3 linked regions of the Arabidopsis thaliana genome follow. The protein of the gene in region 2 interacts with the protein of the main gene of each other region in a biochemical or structural test. Each region holds a gene or a part of one and is shown on either strand. Other genes may lie near its edges.

Region 1 (6,781 bases), on a different chromosome or scaffold from region 2:
ATAATTGGCTTCTTGGATGTCTTTATTTAACCATAGGAACAGTGTTGCTATCTCTATGGATGTTGTTTCAAGGGACTTTAAGTATTAAGTACCCTTGCAAATACTCGAGCACTTGTCTTATGTCAATTTTCGCGGCATTTCAATGTGCTCTCTTGAGCCTTTACAAGAGCAGAGACGTTAATGATTGGATCATAGATGATAGATTCGTTATCACCGTCATCATATACGCTGTAAGTTACAAACATCATATCTTTATAAATTAACTTTTTAAAAATTATAAGATTAGTATGTAAGAACTTAAGATATTAATGTGGGTTTTTTTATGTGGTTTTTTTTTATCATATATTATAGGGAGTGGTAGGACAAGCAATGACGACGGTTGCAACAACATGGGGGATTAAAAAATTAGGAGCTGTGTTCGCATCGGCGTTTTTCCCACTTACTCTCATTTCGGCTACTCTATTTGATTTCCTCATTTTACACACTCCTTTATACCTTGGAAGGTATCTTCTTCGATAATCTCTATCAAATTAATTTTGTCTAGGCATAACACTAATTACAACATTAAAACTTTTGGTCTACAGTGTGATTGGATCACTAGTGACCATAACGGGTCTCTACATGTTCTTGTGGGGGAAGAACAAAGAAACGGAATCATCAACTGCATTGTCTTCAGGAATGGATAACGAAGCTCAATATACTACTCCTAATAAGGATAACGACTCTAAGTCGCCCGTTTAATTTAATTATATTGTTGTTAATGTATGTTTCAAATAACTGTTATGTCCTAGTTAATGTTTAAGGAGAGGTAATGAGAGATAAAATTTTATAATTCCAAACATCAACGTAGAGATTTGTGAAATATTTAAATCCGGTTTGTTTGGTTATTTTGGAATAATTTCGGTTATTTCAATTAGATTCGGGTAGTTCAGTTCTTCGGTTAGTAACAAAAACTGGTCTATTGTTTTTTGGTTAACCTAGAACCGAACCGAACTAACCAAAGTTCTCGGTAACCTTTTGTAGTGGCTTCCTGACCGATGAGGCCGTCAACTTCAAAAAATATTGCAACTAAGCTCTGCTCCAACATTAGAGTATCTATAACTATGTTAAACGCTTCTGCTTTAAGCAAAACACAGTTGTAAGCTGGAATCTAAAAAAATGAGTGTAATGATGTTTGCTGAATTCCATAAATAAATACTACATGCTTCGGTTAAGACTTAAGAGTAATTAATGTTCCTTAATTTCTACAAATGTTATATAAGCAAGTTGACCAAAGTTCTCGATGATAATTTGTTGAAATTTTGTATAGGCATTGCATGATATTATATGAAAAGATGAAGATTTTTATACAGACGCAAGTTCCCCGAGCAGTCCAAGCTTGTCGGGTTTAATTCAACTATGTTAATACGCAAATTTATATAGAATAGGCGTAAAAGTGAGGCCCATACAATGTCTTATTACAAGCCCAGATCCAGCATAGCCAATACGTAGCAGTACACCATCACAGCTGGCACCGTACCCACTTGTTTAGTCGTCCAAGTTTGTACCAATAATCGTTTACACGTAAGCAATTGTGGACCACCACACTCACTTTTACCTACGTGAGCTTCACATTGAAGCTTCTGGCTCGTAGAGAAGCAACTTGAGATATACCAAAAAGTGCAGTAGACAGCCACTACAATATCACCACGTGTCGATCTGCGATGACTTCTGTTTTTTCCATTTATACCCTTGGTGCTGTTCCAGCCTCAAATAAACTTTTCAATTAAAATTTTTCCAAAAATTAGGGGAAAAATTGTTGTGGCTGAGATTGCTTCTGGCTTCTCTTCTTCTTCTTCCAGTCTTCTTCAGCCTAAAACAGTCTTCCTTCTTCTTCTTCTTCTTCTTCTTCTTCTTCTTCTTCAGTTATCTTCTTCCTTCTTCTCTCTGTTTTTTAAATTTATTTTTAGAGATTTTTTTTTGTTTTGCTTCCGATTTGATTATTTCCGGGAACGATGACTTCTCCGGGGAGTTCCCGGTGAGATGATAAGTCAGATTGCATACTTGTCTCCTCCATGGCTACTCTCAAGGGTATAACAGTTTACATTATGAGCAGTTTCTAGGATTCCTATAACATACTAAGATCTCTGTTTGGCTGCTGAGAAACTTATAGAAGCGATTAACTAAATCTTATTAGCTCTAAAAGTTAGCATAAATGATACGAATCTGGTGATTGATTACTGATATGAAGATTTGTGAAGGTTTTGGCTGCGGTGGATTCGTTTGGGTGAGGCTTTTGTGAATAATAATAAAGGGAATTCTTTTGAGTTCTGCTGGAGAAGCAGCGACTGTTTCACGGTGGACTTTGAAAAGATTTCTCTTTTGAATTTCGCTCATCACTCTTATCTTAGTGTTTGTGGATAAATATTTCTCATAAAGTACTTTCTCCTTTGCAGTTTCTCTAGAATCTAAAGAGGTTATCACAACGGCTTTGCAATTTGAAAACTTTCATGTTTGGGGAGATCAAAGATGGTTTCTTTTTTATACTTTACTTGTTAGAGAGGATTTGAAGCAGCGAATAGCTGCACCGGTCCTGTTATGGATACTAATACATCTGGAGAAGAATTATTAGCTAAGGTACTACTACTAATGAAATAAGATTGGTGTTTTTTTGTTTGAGAGATTTGGACTGTTGTTGTGTGAAGATTTGATTTTCTTTTGGGTTTTCAAATGTTTAGGCAAGAAAGCCATATACAATAACAAAGCAGCGAGAGCGATGGACTGAGGATGAGCATGAGAGGTTTCTAGAAGCCTTGAGGCTTTATGGAAGAGCTTGGCAACGAATTGAAGGTCGAAAGTTTATCTTTTGAATGTTTAGTTTGAACTCTTTGAGATTTTATATTCCTTTGTTTAGGAGTGTCTTTATCTCCTCTTGATTGGGAGATTCCTTCTTTTCTTTTCATTTTGTGTGCAGAACATATTGGGACAAAGACTGCTGTTCAGATCAGAAGTCATGCACAAAAGTTCTTCACAAAGGTAAGTTGATGATCCTTTCAGATCTTTTTAAAACACTTTCGTTATCTTGTGTAAAGGTACCATTTTTTCATATCGATCTATGACTATGTTTAGAAGTTGCCTGTCACTGTCTGGAAAAGATGATAGAAGGTTCTTCTTATTCTTCCTTTTCTCTAATTGCTTCAACTAGAAATTAGGCGTCTAAGTAGAGTGTGTTTTGCTAAGTAGAGTTGGTTGGTTCCGAGGATTGCATCTCGATCGTTTTTTATCTTTTTCATTTACTCTGTTCAACTAAACTTAACATTAGATTGGTCTGTCCAAACTTACTGTTAGAAAAAACTCTACAGAGAGCTTTCTTCTCTGAGACCATAAGATAGGTCCAAATTAACATAACTAGCGTTGCATTTGGATGACACAATTGTCCCATATTCACTAAAGTCGATGAAATAATGGGATTGCATGAATTCTTTTAGCCATCCATATGGAAACCAAACCTCCTTGCCCTATAGGACAGGACATGAAGTAACTCTATCATCTCTACCCCGAAAAATTCGGGTCAGTATAAGACTTTTTTCAACCTTGGTGATGTGGTCAATTTCATGAATCTCAGGATTTCACATCTGAGCTGCATTTTTCCATCTCCAGTTTGGAAAAGCTCACAGTTTTTGGTTCACATTTCAGTTGGAGAAAGAGGCTGAAGTTAAAGGCATCCCTGTTTGCCAAGCTTTGGACATAGAAATTCCGCCTCCTCGTCCTAAACGAAAACCCAATACTCCTTATCCTCGAAAGCCTGGGAACAACGGTACATCTTCCTCTCAAGTATCATCAGCAAAAGATGCAAAACTTGTTTCATCGGCCTCTTCTTCACAGTTGAATCAGGCGTTCTTGGATTTGGAAAAAATGCCGTTCTCTGAGGTTTATTCCTGATCTTTCTCTTCTTCATTTTATCATTTTGGTGGTCTTGTGATAGACTTCTTATGTTTTATTTTCTGGTTAGAAAACATCAACTGGAAAAGAAAATCAAGATGAGAATTGCTCGGGTGTTTCTACTGTGAACAAGTATCCCTTACCAACGAAAGTAAGTCTAAGAAAGCTACAAAATTGTAGTCGAAGAATCTGATGAATGCTTTCAAGTGCATGACAAATTATTTGTTCCATTCTGATTTTTAGCAGGTAAGTGGCGACATTGAAACAAGTAAGACCTCAACTGTGGACAACGCGGTTCAAGATGTTCCCAAGAAGAACAAAGACAAAGATGGTAACGATGGTACTACTGTGCACAGCATGCAAAACTACCCTTGGCATTTCCACGCAGATATTGTGAACGGGAATATAGCAAAATGCCCTCAAAATCATCCCTCAGGTATGGTATCTCAAGACTTCATGTTTCATCCTATGAGAGAAGAAACTCACGGGCACGCAAATCTTCAAGCTACAACAGCATCTGCTACTACTACAGCTTCTCATCAAGCGTTTCCAGCTTGTCATTCACAGGATGATTACCGTTCGTTTCTCCAGATATCATCTACTTTCTCCAATCTTATTATGTCAACTCTCCTACAGAATCCTGCAGCTCATGCTGCAGCTACATTCGCTGCTTCGGTCTGGCCTTATGCGAGTGTCGGGAATTCTGGTGATTCATCAACCCCAATGAGCTCTTCTCCTCCAAGTATAACTGCCATTGCCGCTGCTACAGTAGCTGCTGCAACTGCTTGGTGGGCTTCTCATGGACTTCTTCCTGTATGCGCTCCAGCTCCAATAACATGTGTTCCATTCTCAACTGTTGCAGTTCCAACTCCAGCAATGACTGAAATGGATACCGTTGAAAATACTCAACCGTTTGAGAAACAAAACACAGCTCTGCAAGATCAAAACTTGGCTTCGAAATCTCCAGCTTCATCATCTGATGATTCAGATGAGACTGGAGTAACCAAGCTAAATGCCGACTCAAAAACCAATGATGATAAAATTGAGGAGGTTGTTGTTACTGCCGCTGTGCATGACTCAAACACTGCCCAGAAGAAAAATCTTGTGGACCGCTCATCCTGTGGCTCAAATACACCTTCAGGGAGTGACGCAGAAACTGATGCATTAGATAAAATGGAGAAAGATAAAGAGGATGTGAAGGAGACAGATGAGAATCAGCCAGATGTTATTGAGTTAAATAACCGTAAGATTAAAATGAGAGACAACAACAGCAACAACAATGCAACTACTGATTCGTGGAAGGAAGTCTCCGAAGAGGTAAAACAAAAACCAATGATTCATGGATATTGCAGAGTTCTTCTGGGAACTAACACTATCAAAATATTTTCAGGGTCGTATAGCGTTTCAGGCTCTCTTTGCAAGAGAAAGATTGCCTCAAAGCTTTTCGCCTCCTCAAGTGGCAGAGAATGTGAATAGAAAACAAAGTGACACGTCAATGCCATTGGCTCCTAATTTCAAAAGCCAGGATTCTTGTGCTGCAGACCAAGAAGGAGTAGTAATGATCGGTGTTGGAACATGCAAGAGTCTTAAAACGAGACAGACAGGATTTAAGCCATACAAGAGATGTTCAATGGAAGTGAAAGAGAGCCAAGTTGGGAACATAAACAATCAAAGTGATGAAAAAGTCTGCAAAAGGCTTCGATTGGAAGGAGAAGCTTCTACATGACAGACTTGGAGGTAAAAAAAAAACATCCACATTTTTATCAATATCTTTAAATCTAGTGTTAGTAGTTTGCTTCTCCAATCTTTATGAAAGAGACTTTTAATTTTCCTTCCGAACATTTCTTTGGTCATGTCAGGTTCTGTACCATATTACCCCATGTCTTGTCTCTTGTCTCTGTTTGTGTATGCTACTTGTGGTCTATATGTCATCTGCTACTACTGTTAATTAACCATTAAGCAATGGATTTGTCTTTATTCTTCTTTTTAAAAATTGTGGATATTGATTGATGAGATCATAAATAGTTTATAATGATAAAAGATGAACTGTACAAAAGTTACAACTTAGAAAGTTTTGTCTTTTGGTGTTTCTTCATAATGATTCTCTCTGTTTGTTTCAAACTTGAAGGCGCTCGTTGCCCAACGCCAAATGCCCAAAGGTGCTAGGCTGGGCCTTAAAGATTTTACTCACACTACTTGGGCCTACATTACAACATTTTCCCTATTACAAGCTTAAGTAATAGAGGCCTAAAGAAGGCTTATATTGTGTAGCTAGTTTATACAATATTTCAATCTCTTAATTTGGTTTACTGATGAATGAGTAGATATACAATTTTTTTGTTCTCACTGAATGAGCCATATCCTTGCTACCAAACCAAATTATTTGTGAAAAATGTAATGCAAGTATCCTACATAGATTATAGGAGTGACCGCAAAAACACAAACTATGTTTCGTAATAAAAAATAAAGTATTTTTAAAAAGATGTAAATCTTTGTAAATAATTGAGTGGTAGTGTAGTGAGTGTTACGATAATATAAAAGTTTGATCCGTATATCTCGGTGGTGACTCATATATACATTTTACAATCACTTGCTAGACCAACGGGCTTCACTTGTTTCTCTCCCAAAGTTTCTTCATCATCCTTGCGATAAAGAAAACAACAATCGGCTGTTTCGTTTCGATCCAAAGGTACGTTTTTTTTTCTTTTGTCATCGTTCTAAGATCATCAAAGTTTGATGCTTTTCCATGTTTAATCTTCTGGGTATTTTGTTGCTTCAAATCTCAATCATCCATCGAGTCTATAGAGAAAAAGTGAACAGATTTGGTATACATCTTTTCAGTAATCGATACGTTAACAAT
Region 2 (5,670 bases):
AAACTTTTAACGGATACCCATCATTCTTTGTCCCTAGTTTATGGAACTTCAACAAAAGAAGAGACTCAACCAAAATGGTAATGTGTGTTTGTAAGAAACTCACCAACCCTCGAAGAGATTTCTGAGCATAGAGCATAAGCACTGGACCAAGTCCATACTGCTTAAACCCTCTAGCCATCATCGCGATCAGGACACGTTGAAACGAATCAATCCTAAGAACCGTTAAGTCTTCAGCCCACCAATCAACAACAGGCTGCTTGCTCTGCTGCTGAACCACAACCTCATTGTTACCGCTATTACTTGAAGAAGGACTGCAAAAATGGCTCTCTTGACAAGTCATATAAGCAATTGCATCGATGCAACGGCTTACAAGTTTGACTCTTTCAGCAATGGGCAACAACTTCTCTGATTTGTGCAAGACTGTGATCGAACTCGATAAGCTCTTGAGAGCTACTTCATTCAAGTAAGCTTCGGCTCTTACAACGAGATTTTCCACAGAGTGTTCCTCTGTCATCTCTAGATACTCCGCTGCACATCGCAACATGGCAATGTTCTCTGTGCTCATATCAAAGTTAATGCCGTAGCAGAACTTAGCCGCTAGCTCAAATGCTTCAGAGCCTCCTGGAATATCTGGTATCTTGATAACAGTGGAATCTGAATCTTTGCTTGATTCCGACACAAGTTTCTTGATAAACCCACATTTTGACATGAGTGGAAACTGCAAGATTCAGAGAGAAAACAACCGAATCGGCACGAATGTGATCATGTCATTGGCTTTACATCAGAGAGATTGATCGCTAAATACAGATCTATAATCTACCTTGTGCAGTGAAAACGAAGCTTCTCCTACATGAACGGTGACATCACTAGATACTTCTTGAGAAGAAATCCTGAAACGATGTAATAAAGAGTATTATAAACGATTTCTACTTCAGGACTGGAAACAAAAAATGGATTGAGAAACAAAATAATCTTATGAAGAGAATAAAAAACCATTCACTGGTTCTTTTCATAGCTGAGGACAAAAGATCTTTCTTCTTTGCTGACATATTACGAACACTTAGCTCGCAGTTTCTTTTCACTCAAGAAATTCACCATGGAACACTATTTCAAGTCCTTCTCATGAAGAAGACGTGCCGTAATGTACTACTAAAAGAGAGAGAATAAGATCAAGAAAATGAGCTTCTTCCTCTCTTTTGATAATTGTGACCAAACAGAAAAAGAGAACTCAAATTCTCCAAACAAAGAAAACCATAAACTACCCTTACCACCAAAAGCAATGAACAAGACAGAACAGGGTAGTTATGTCATTCTAATGGAGAGTACAAGATAGGGAGTCAGTCTAAGGAGGGAGTGTGTGTGGTAATGGATTGGTTTAAAAATTGAGAAGAGTCCAAGTGGATCAGACACACATCTTTGTACCAAACTAATAATTCCAAATTATAAAAAAGAGAGTATTGATTCCTCTCCACAAATGTATATATCCCTTACAAATATTAGCTATAAATTGGTTTAGTGGTAAGAAGAAGAGAAGGAAGGAGTATATAAGTAAGCTGCAGAATCTTGGTTTTGTGACAGAACATGAATGATGGGATATTTGTCCCTACAGAGAGTCTTATCATCTTTTTTTCTGATAATTGAAGTCACTATATGCCTCAACATTTTGATTGAGACTCTACTCAATCTTGCAATAAATTGTGTCTCTTGAATAATATAAGACGTCCTCAACGAAAAATTCAAAATTTTCAAATAATTGCAAACAATAAAAACAGAGGATGATACATGAATCTGAGTTTTTACCTCTAGTTGTTTTTCATGGCTTGGTCAGCTAAATGAGTAAAGACGACAGAATCTTCCCTCGAGTTCTCAACATTGGAATCAAAAATCAGTATTGTTAACCAATTCAACCCCTTCAAGATCAATAGCTTTTTGCAGTCTTCCACACTATACATTGAGCCTCTTCATCCATCAAATGCCTCAACTCCTAAAACAACCATAGCGTAATCTTCGCGTGTATCAACCAATTAGCTGTTACATTTGTCGGAGAACCCATTGATAGTGATAGGAGTCTGAACAATCTTTAAATGGCTTTGTCGCAGCCTCCTTGATGAATCGTGGGGACACAGATAGAAAGTTTCCACCTTTTACTTGCCCATTATTGCAGACTTTCTCGAGACTTAGCTCCATTATCACTGATCGAATCCTCGCTTAATGCAAATCCGAAATTTCAAAAGCTTCCCAAAAATAAGAACCCTAACATGTATATAAGCGGGTGGACTATTTGGGTCCAAATATATTGGGCCATAAATAAAGCCCATTATACTATGTCAGGCCTTTATGGCAAATTTAGTTGGCGCAAAAATAACGCAAACGAAAAAAGGAAAACAAAAAGTTAATCTGGTGCGGAAGAGCGTAGTGAATGATAGATACGCTTTTCTTCTTGTTCTTCCTCTTCTTCGATTCTCCTCTTCGACGTCTCTTGTTACTGTGCGCCGTCTTAGCCTTACGTGCGCCAACGGCGCACTCTCCTATCCTACGCTCATCTATCGTCACTCCCACAGCGAGAGCTGTCTCGGAAGTTTCCGGTTGTACTACGATCGATCCAGATTTTCTCGTAGAGATCTCTGATTCTAACCAGACGCGGGCGATGTCGAAAGCTCGTGTGTACACCGAAGTCAATGTGATTCGACCCAAGGATTATTGGGATTACGAGTCACTCATTGTTCAATGGGGGTAAGATTGTTAAACCCTAGAATTAGCTGAATTGGTAGTTGCTAAAGTAATTTAATCGATTTTTGTAGTGTTTGTATTGAATTTGAATTCAGCTTGCTCTGGATTTGCTTCTTGATGAAGCTAATCTAATCAAATTGATGCTGCTAATGTAAAAAACTTTACTTTTATCTCTATTGATGAATTTGATTTTTTAGTTGTGCTTATTTTGCCTTTTAGTTCTTCTATTGTAAAGCAATGATTTTTTAGTTTAACATTTTGATCTTGTTATTTGCTCTCTCAGGGAGCAAGATGATTATGAGGTAGTAAGGAAGGTAGGGCGTGGAAAATATAGTGAAGTTTTCGAGGGTATAAATGTGAACAGCAAGGAGAAGTGCATTATCAAAATCCTCAAACCTGTTAAGAAAAAGAAGGTGAATTGTTTTACATTGTTTTGGATGATTGGGGTTGTTTCTTGAATCTCTCTATGATCTTTTTTTCGTAGATAAGAAGAGAGATTAAAATACTTCAGAACCTATGCGGTGGGCCAAATATTGTCAAGCTGCTTGATGTTGTTAGAGATCAACATTCGAAAACTCCAAGCTTGATATTTGAATATGTTAACAGCACAGACTTTAAAGTTTTGTATCCTACGTTGACTGATTACGACATTCGTTACTACATCTATGAGCTGTTGAAGGTATAAATTCTGGTATTGGTTGGATTATATAAGTATTCCATTTGACTTCATACTCACATTTGGTAAGACTACTTGTTGCAGGCACTAGACTTCTGCCATTCACAAGGAATAATGCACAGAGACGTCAAGCCTCATAATGTTATGATTGACCATGAGCTGCGTAAGCTTCGTCTTATAGATTGGGGTCTTGCTGAGTTTTACCACCCTGGAAAAGAGTATAATGTCCGTGTTGCCTCAAGGTATGGTTTTACTTCATACCCTTTATTTTATTTTTTTCGCTGTTGCCTAGCTTCACTCTAATGTTTATCTCTCCTAATGTGTATCAGATATTTCAAGGGACCTGAACTTCTTGTGGACTTGCAAGACTATGACTATTCATTGGATATGTGGAGTCTTGGCTGTATGTTTGCAGGGATGGTAAGTTCATGATATAACATTTGAACGGCTTTCCTTTCTTTTCTGAGAAATGAACTTGTGGTGATCTAATTTTGACCTAATTTTTCCTCATTACCCATATTAGATATTCCGTAAGGAACCTTTCTTCTACGGCCATGACAACCAGGATCAGCTAGTGAAAATCGCCAAGGTATATTACTTGTAATTCAGTATTAGAATATGGGAGATCTCCGTTCCATTGTCGTCATGAACTCTCCTTCTTATTCACCAGGTGCTTGGGACTGACGAATTGAATGCTTATCTGAACAAGTACCAGTTAGAACTTGATCCACAACTGGAAGCACTTGTTGGGCGGTATGTGAAACTTAAACATTATATTGTAATCTCCGAGCTTGGCATTGCCATGTAATGAGCTGAAGCTGAGAATTAGTGTTGTATCATTCTCTGGTTCAATGGAACACAACCTACAGGCATAGCAGGAAACCTTGGTCCAAATTCATCAACGCAGACAATCAGCACTTAGTTTCACCCGAGGTTTACTCCTTTCCTTGAGTCCTTAACTCCTTGTATAGAAAATGGTTTAGTTGGGTTCTTAAGGGTTTTGTTTAAAACGGTGTAGGCGATTGATTTCCTCGACAAGCTACTTCGGTATGATCATCAAGACAGATTAACTGCAAAAGAAGCCATGGTACGCATGCTTCAGAAAACAAATTAGAAGCCTTTGTATTTGTATATAAATCACATATTAGGTAAATTAATATGGTTTGTTGATTTGTTGACAGGCGCACGCTTACTTCGCCCAAGTTAGGGCAGCAGAAACCAGCAGAATGAGAAGTCAATGAAACACAGAGATCTCTCTGTCTATAAACTTACTGATGATGATGATGGTAATGTTCATCTTTTCTTCAAAGTATTTTTTTTAAATCAAGGTGATGTTTCTTCTGTCCAACTTATTAAACAATTTGTCCTGAATTCGAATGTCTGAAACGTCTTATATTTTAAATATATTTTTCATGTATGTTGTATCAAACCAAAAAAAAAAAAACAGAATTACAATAAAACAAAAAAACGTACTAGTTTTATTTAATTATTTTTAATGTTTTTCTGCTCATTCGTATTACTACTATCGCAATTGTTTTTACCAAAATAAACAAAAAACGTACTAATATTATTTAACTATTTTTTGAATATTTAAATGATTTTATAAGAAAATATTTTTTCATTATTAAAATAAAATTAGAATCTTTTACATTAAAGTACCAGTAATTTTGGAAAATAAATTTCCATGTTTAATAATACGTTAATTAAAACCTTAATTAAATAAAAACTTTGGTTTGTATTTTCGTTAATGAAATCTTTGTTTTATATTTTCGTTGCCATAATGAATTCTTTTTTTTATTTTTCAAAGACATTGTACAATATATCGAATAAGATACTTAAATAAATTTGTATCTAAACTTATTCGATATCTTTTAAGAAATAAAGAGTGAAGAAAATTAAAGTTAGTTAAGAAATAAAAATGTTGATTATGTTGCAAATTCATAAAGAGAAAAAAAAATCAATCAAAATTAAAGTGGTTTGTTAAAAACTAAAATTAGTCTAGTTGACGAAGATGAATTTGTTAGTTACTTTAGTGTTAAAAAAAATTGCGATAGTAATACGAATGAGCAGAAAAACATTAAAAATGAAAACGACAAGAAATATGTAAAATGGGCCTAACTTCCTAGGCCTGAAAACGAAAAGGCCGTAAGGTAATTAGTAAGCCCACATTAGAAGACAATTTGTATGGTAAATAATTAACTATTCATTGGAAAATAAATAACCACTTGCACTATAAGCGAGTTATCACCACGCGCCACAAATCT
Region 3 (5,904 bases), on a different chromosome or scaffold from region 2:
ACGCATCCAAGTTTTGGTGAACCGACTGCAGCCTATCTGACTGCAGCTTTTATCGATTGTGTAAAGACAGTAGATGGTATGTGTGAGGACACTCCAAAAAGTGAACTAGATGTCTACAGAGAGACATTTAAAATGTTCGAGGAGCAGGGTTTCGACGTTGCAGAACCTTTATCACAGGTCCTCACGCTGTTAGTTCTCCGCAAGATGAGACGTGAATCCCTCAGACAACAAAAAGGGATGGAGAAAGAGATGGCAGATGATTATAGCAAGCTGAAAAAGAGTCTGGTGAGGTGCAAAAGCAGCTTTGAAGACAAGGAGACGGCCAAATAAAAGATATGGGGTCATTTCATGGGTGTGGTTGGATTTATCCTTATAACTTCTGTTTTTATTTAATCCTTTTTTGTAACAACTCTGTTGTACTTGCTACTGCTTGCCTTTGGCTGCTTGCCTTTCTATTTATGTGATGACATAAGGAAGTAGAGTTTGCTTATTTGTGTGGTGCTTTTGTGCTTACTTATGAGTTATGAGACAACTTAAGGGTGATGGATGGGCTAAGATTACGTTTTGGAACTCTGTCGTTTGCATATATCAAGAACAAGAGCCCCTTGAGTGAAGTTCTTTCCAGGTTGGAAAAAAAAAGATTAAACAGTTTATGATTTGTTGAATAATACAGAGTCAAATGTTACAGGAAGACTATGGACAAGGAAACAAATACAAAGGCCTCAAAAGAAAAAGAAAATGTAGCAGTGGTCTTGAAAACTTAAAAACAGAGTACAAACAACAGATCAGATGAAAATAGAGTCTCATGTGGAAGCTTGAGTTTCCAACCGCATCCGTTTGGGATCTTTCTGTTCCACATGAATGATAGGATTGTTGTTGAGGATTCTACTTTCTTTGGCTTCCATGGAACATCTTTTGTATGGTTTAAAACCTGTTCTTCCTCTACTCATTAGCTTTGAAGCATCTAATCCGATTCCAAGAAATCCTGTGTTTCTCTTCTCCTCTTGATCATCAACTGGTGTTAACTGAGCTGTGAAGTTAAGATCAAGTGCCATTGGATATCTTTGTTCTTGTTGTTGTTGTTCTTCCTCTCTGTGTTCTTCTCGATATGTAAAACTTTGCGGCAATACCTCTCTGGAGAAGAGAGCTTGGAAGGCAATTCGACCCTGAATGTACAATATTTATATGAGAAAATGATTTGAAATAAAGGAAGTTGATCTTTAGTCCAAGTAAGTACCTCGTCAGACACAGACTTCCATGGATCGGTTATATTGGAGCTGATTCTACTGCGGCGTGCATTGGACTCTGAAGTTTGAGGTTTATTAGTGTCTTCATTCGTTTCTTTCACCTCACCATTGGTGCCATCCTCTTGCCTTTCTGATGCATCCGCCTCAACATCATCACTACTCGACGGAGTGTTTGAGCCACACGAGGACCGGTCAACTTGTTTTCTGTCTCCTGCTCCATCTGAACCCTTTGCATCACTCTCAGGTGTTGCAGAAGGCTGCTCATGACAAACTGGTTTACTCTTATTTTCAACATCCTCTGAGTCCAGTGAAGATCGAGCCTTTGATGCCTCGGAGTGTTCTTGCTCTCGGCTCTGCACAGAACCATGTTGTAAAGTGCTTGCTTTTGTGTACTCTACATCACATGATGGTCCAAAAGTAGATGGAGGATGACTAGTGAAACCACCTGAACTAAGAGGAGCACATAAAGGTAATAATCCATTGGCAGCCCACCAAGCACTAGCAGCTGCAACAGTGGCTGCGGCCATGGCAGCCAGATTCGGAGGTGAGTTCCCTGGAACAGGTGAGCCACCACTAGAATCGGGAGGCCAAAATGATGAGGCGAAAGTTGCGGCAGTATAAAGAGCCGGTGTTTGTAAAAGGGTTGACATTATATGATTAGGAAACGACTGATAATCTCCTGCAACTGTGTGGGGATGACTATCTGGCTCTGAAGGAGGATGTGATAGAGAACTTGTTATTGAGCTCCCCAATGGCACTAGCACAGGGATATGCATCGGATAAGTCTGAGGTCCTTGCTCATTACCGTTTTCCAGAGATTTTGCATTCAAATCTGAGTTTGACTCCTTTCTTACCCTGTTATTCTGACTTCCCTGTTATTCCCCCACGGTTTTAGTTTCATGAAAAGTACTAATCGTCTTAAAACCTCAAATAGCAATGAAAGATTGTTTTTTACCTCTTCCCGTGAAGGCAAGAACTCGCGGAAAGTGCTTGCGTTTGATGTCTCTATACAACTTTTATTCATGGAGGATGCAGCAGAGAGATACTGATGAGTGAAACAATCTGAACAGTTGTCTTCCTGCAGAGTTTTCTCTTCAGGCTTTGATTGTTGTCGATCTTCATTGGCCATCTATAAACGAAGCACACAATCTGTATTAATAACATGAGGAGCAATGTGACACACTGCAAAAAGATGCCATATGACCATGAAAATCACCTCAGGATGCGACACTTTTTCTGATCCAAGGGACTCTTTTCCATCATTCACACCCGTTTTTGACATAAGGATCGTTCCACTTCCCGTCTTTCGAGGATAAGGATTGTTTGGTTTACGCTTAGGCCGTGGAGGAGGAATAGCTATGTCTAGCGCTTGACCCATAGCTACACCTTTAGCTTCAGCCTCTTTCTCTACCTGAGAGAGATGAGAGTAGTTTTGTTACCCTCTAAACAAACGTAAACAAACAAAAATCTAATGACACTAACAAGTTTAAATGACAGAACTGGAAAATCAAAAATGGTTTACCTCTATGGCTTATCACAAGGAACATTCAAAAATTTCTAGCACTCAGCCCACTTTTGCCACTACCTCAGAATCGGTAAGAAGACACAAGTTTATCTGAAGAATCTAAAGAAACTAACATTCTTCTGAAGAATCTATGTACATGTTTGTGGATTAACAAGATATAGGCATAAACAAAAGAAAACGATTACATCTCGTCATTTCTCCAACTATTTTAAGACTTATTGCTCATTACTAAACTCTAAAAACGTAATCTATCTATCTCCTGACTAAGAAGCAAAAGAAGCAGAAAACTTGCCTGGCTTTCAATAAGTCTTAAGCATTAAGCCAATGAAGATGAGAACATCATTTCAAAATTAACCGATTTTACCTTGGAGAAAAATTTCTGAGCGTGACTTCTTATCTGGACAGCAGTTTTTGTTGCTACATGTTCTGTCCAAATGAAAAAAAGCAAATCAGTTTGAAGACAAACCTCTGCAAACACAAAAAATAAGACATATAAAGGGAAATAAAAATCAACCTTCAATCTTCTGCCATGCTCTACCATAAAGCCTCAAAGCTTCAATGAATCTATTATGTTCTTCCTCAGTCCACCTTTCACGTTGCTTTGTTATCGTATATGGCTTCCGAGTCTATATCAAGTTTCATTAAAATTCTCAATCTTTGACACCTAAAACAATCATCTTCCCCCTAAAATTTAGTTTAATTTACCTTAATAACCAGATCTTCTCCAGACGAATTTGTCTCCATCACTAAGCTCCTCTACACAACTTCAGATCTTCTCTTTACAAAATTCCACTAATCCACAAAACAAAAAACAATCAAGTCAAGTTATTCATCAAACAATAAGAAAGACCATGACAATAAATCAATCTTAAGTACCTTTAGAGAGATGATTCAATGAAAGAAACAAAATCAGCTTGGATTCGATAAAGATTCCATTTTTAATTCCAGATTTCGTTGGATAAGAAAACAGTAAGAAATCGAGAAGAAGAAGAAGAAGAAGTGATTTGCTTTTGATCAATGAAACAAAGAAAAGAGACCAGAAGCTACGGAAATGGAGAAATCTCAGCCACTATAATTATCTTTAACCTCAAACTTTTTAATTTATTTATTTCGAGGCTACAAAAGAAACTGCCATATGTCAACATACTAGTGGCTGAAGAGATGATTCAGCTTTTGTTCAAGTTACATTCTTGTCCATCTTAACATCAACTTGTTCACAACCTTCTTTGTATTCTAGGCCACGAGTTCCGGGACTACCTGAAAGGTTAAAAAGGTCAATTCGTTATAATATCTTGATCTAGTGGGACCTACTTAAGATCGTTAATCTCTCCCACCAGTTTGTCGACACGTGTCTGATACACTAGAAACATCAGTGGACCCGGGAATCTAGACGACTACTTCACCAACAATCGAACGCGCATTCTCGTGCGGTTCACTACACGCGCTATTCTCACACTCTAATGGACCTAAACTTATTTGGGCCATAGTTTTATATTGGGCTTATTTTTTTTAGACCCATAAGGTTTTGTTCTTTTAGCATAAGGCCCATATCGTTATTCAACAGTTCAGCATTAAGCTAAGCTAACCATGCATGAAGGGTAGAAGACTAAATGGGGACAAAGTTTGAAATTTTGGAAAATGAAACAAAACATCTCATATATAGTCTTGAGGAATTTACAACACTTTGACATAAATGGATGATACTTTGAGCTAAAAAAGACCAGAGACAGAGAGAGAGAAAGGATGAAAATTATTTAGTTACAAGAAGGAAAGATTGAAGGAAGGACGTGGCCTTTGTGTTAGATTCTTTTGATATCCTTCATTCCAATTCATGAATGGCCTCAAAAAGGCTCTTCTTCTTCTTCTTCCTCCTTTGATTCAGCTGCTCCCTAATATGTCTTTGTATGTGCTCTTGACCTTCTCAAACAAAGCCTCCCTGAAACAGATAACAAACAATTTCCTCGAGAATTTGAGTCTTCCATTCTCAGTATTACATGCAACCAAACACAGAGTTAAAGAGAGAATTGGTTAACCTGTCTGGTTTGAAGACCAGGTTCTTGTAAGTGAACCACTGCCATAGAAAAACCAAATGTTAATAAGGTCCATCACACAATTGAAACAAACTACACACGTCTTTTAAGATTGAAACACTAGCGAGAAGCAGCAATCAATTTCTGATATCATATCTCCATATGAATTGCAGATGTTCGGATTCTAAATTCAGAGAACTAATCCTAAATCCAAAAGTGAAGTGATGAATCATCTATATCCTCAAAACAGGTTCATGAGAGCTTTGGTTCAAGTGATACAAAGAGAAGAAGAAACTCACTCCTGTGTAACCGATGCCTACAAGTTCAAGAACACCAGGAACCAATGGAAGCCTATCGATTGCCTGTTTCACAATAACAAATTTTGGAATCAAATAAAGGAAATTTAACACTAGGGTTTTAAGAAGAAAGTAGTATTCTTCTACTCACCGAAATCATTCCAGCAGAACCCCAAAGAGCCACTACACCAGCAAAGGCAAGAGAACCAATAGCGTACTTGTCATCCACTTTCTCCCACTTCAATCCAAACAACCAAATTCAGTACATGTAACCCAGAAGCAAGAGGTAGAATCATCATTGTATAAATAAAGTAAGAGTATTTACAGCTTCTTGAGCAGTCTTGACGATTTCAGGTAACTCAGTAGTCTCAGCTTCGGTAGTAGTGGCAGGAGCTTCACCAACTTCAGTAGTAGCTCTCGTCACAACGTTCCTCACAATCTTCCGACCTAAAAACCAAAACCCATTTCGAAAGTTTGAAACTTTAAACTCGAAATTAAAAGTGAAAAGAAAAATCTTCAGATTTATGGAAAACGAACAGTAAGCAGTGGCTTTAGCGGCACGGGTATGAGACTGAATCGGAAGTGTGGGAAGTGAAATGCACGACGGAGAAGAGGCGGAGGCGGAGGCTAGTCGAGAAGGAGGAGCTCTTGAATCGATGATGGTTGAAGAGGAAGAGACTGAAAGAGAAGCCATAGCTATTGAGCTTCAAGCCTCGGAAGAATCTCACAGAAACAAAAACAAAACAGAAACAATTAGGTTTATTATCTAAAAGATTAATGGAGAGCAAGTGTTGAAAGAATTTTGG

What was found.
Region 1: of the proteins of CKA1 (region 2) and LHY, one has a biochemical effect on the other in vitro, tested with the Arabidopsis thaliana proteins (one study listed by BioGRID).
Region 3: the proteins of CKA1 (region 2) and CCA1 form a complex in vitro, tested with the Arabidopsis thaliana proteins (one study listed by BioGRID).

What each region holds. Positions count from the first base shown.
Region 1 is NC_003070.9:32,858-39,638, reverse strand, and holds LHY (Homeodomain-like superfamily protein), read left to right. Parts: upstream 1-1,881; 5' UTR 1,882-2,070; exon of another isoform or gene 2,071-2,240; 5' UTR 2,241-2,266; exon of another isoform or gene 2,267-2,435; 5' UTR 2,436-2,577; coding exon 2,578-2,616; intron 2,617-2,717; coding exon 2,718-2,829; intron 2,830-2,953; coding exon 2,954-3,015; intron 3,016-3,467; coding exon of another isoform or gene 3,468-3,549; intron 3,550-3,639; coding exon of another isoform or gene 3,640-3,675; coding exon 3,676-3,909; intron 3,910-3,991; coding exon 3,992-4,072; intron 4,073-4,164; coding exon 4,165-5,238; intron 5,239-5,311; coding exon 5,312-5,647; 3' UTR 5,648-5,658; exon of another isoform or gene 5,659-5,977; intron 5,978-6,049; 3' UTR 6,050-6,260; downstream 6,261-6,781. Other genes in the region: UMAMIT28 (nodulin MtN21 /EamA-like transporter family protein), read left to right, coding at 1-230, 352-503, 585-741. UniProt on the Arabidopsis thaliana protein: Transcription factor involved in the circadian clock. Binds to the promoter region of APRR1/TOC1 and TCP21/CHE to repress their transcription. Represses both CCA1 and itself.
Region 2 is NC_003076.8:26,880,133-26,885,802, reverse strand, and holds CKA1 (casein kinase alpha 1), read left to right. Parts: upstream 1-1,723; 5' UTR 1,724-2,419; coding exon 2,420-2,733; intron 2,734-3,013; coding exon 3,014-3,143; intron 3,144-3,214; coding exon 3,215-3,409; intron 3,410-3,490; coding exon 3,491-3,648; intron 3,649-3,735; coding exon 3,736-3,826; intron 3,827-3,929; coding exon 3,930-3,995; intron 3,996-4,076; coding exon 4,077-4,159; intron 4,160-4,275; coding exon 4,276-4,339; intron 4,340-4,424; coding exon 4,425-4,493; intron 4,494-4,587; coding exon 4,588-4,647; 3' UTR 4,648-4,837; downstream 4,838-5,670. Other genes in the region: AT5G67385 (Phototropic-responsive NPH3 family protein), read right to left, coding at 104-718, 821-890, 994-1,049. UniProt on the Arabidopsis thaliana protein: Casein kinases are operationally defined by their preferential utilization of acidic proteins such as caseins as substrates. Phosphorylates casein in vitro. The alpha chain contains the catalytic site.
Region 3 is NC_003071.7:19,243,617-19,249,520, reverse strand, and holds CCA1 (circadian clock associated 1), read right to left. Parts: upstream 3,931-5,904; 5' UTR 3,649-3,930; intron 3,565-3,648; 5' UTR 3,517-3,564; coding exon 3,478-3,516; intron 3,399-3,477; coding exon 3,287-3,398; intron 3,199-3,286; coding exon 3,137-3,198; exon of another isoform or gene 2,770-3,136; intron 2,659-2,769; coding exon 2,464-2,658; intron 2,377-2,463; coding exon 2,203-2,376; intron 2,120-2,202; coding exon 1,238-2,119; intron 1,167-1,237; coding exon 804-1,166; 3' UTR 606-803; downstream 1-605. Other genes in the region: DUF4 (hypothetical protein (DOMAIN OF UNKNOWN FUNCTION 724 4)), read left to right, coding at 1-330; PSI-P (photosystem I P subunit), read right to left, coding at 4,651-4,708, 4,806-4,843, 5,102-5,164, 5,250-5,336, 5,424-5,545, 5,636-5,792. UniProt on the Arabidopsis thaliana protein: Transcription factor involved in the circadian clock and in the phytochrome regulation. Binds to the promoter regions of APRR1/TOC1 and TCP21/CHE to repress their transcription. Binds to the promoter regions of CAB2A and CAB2B to promote their transcription.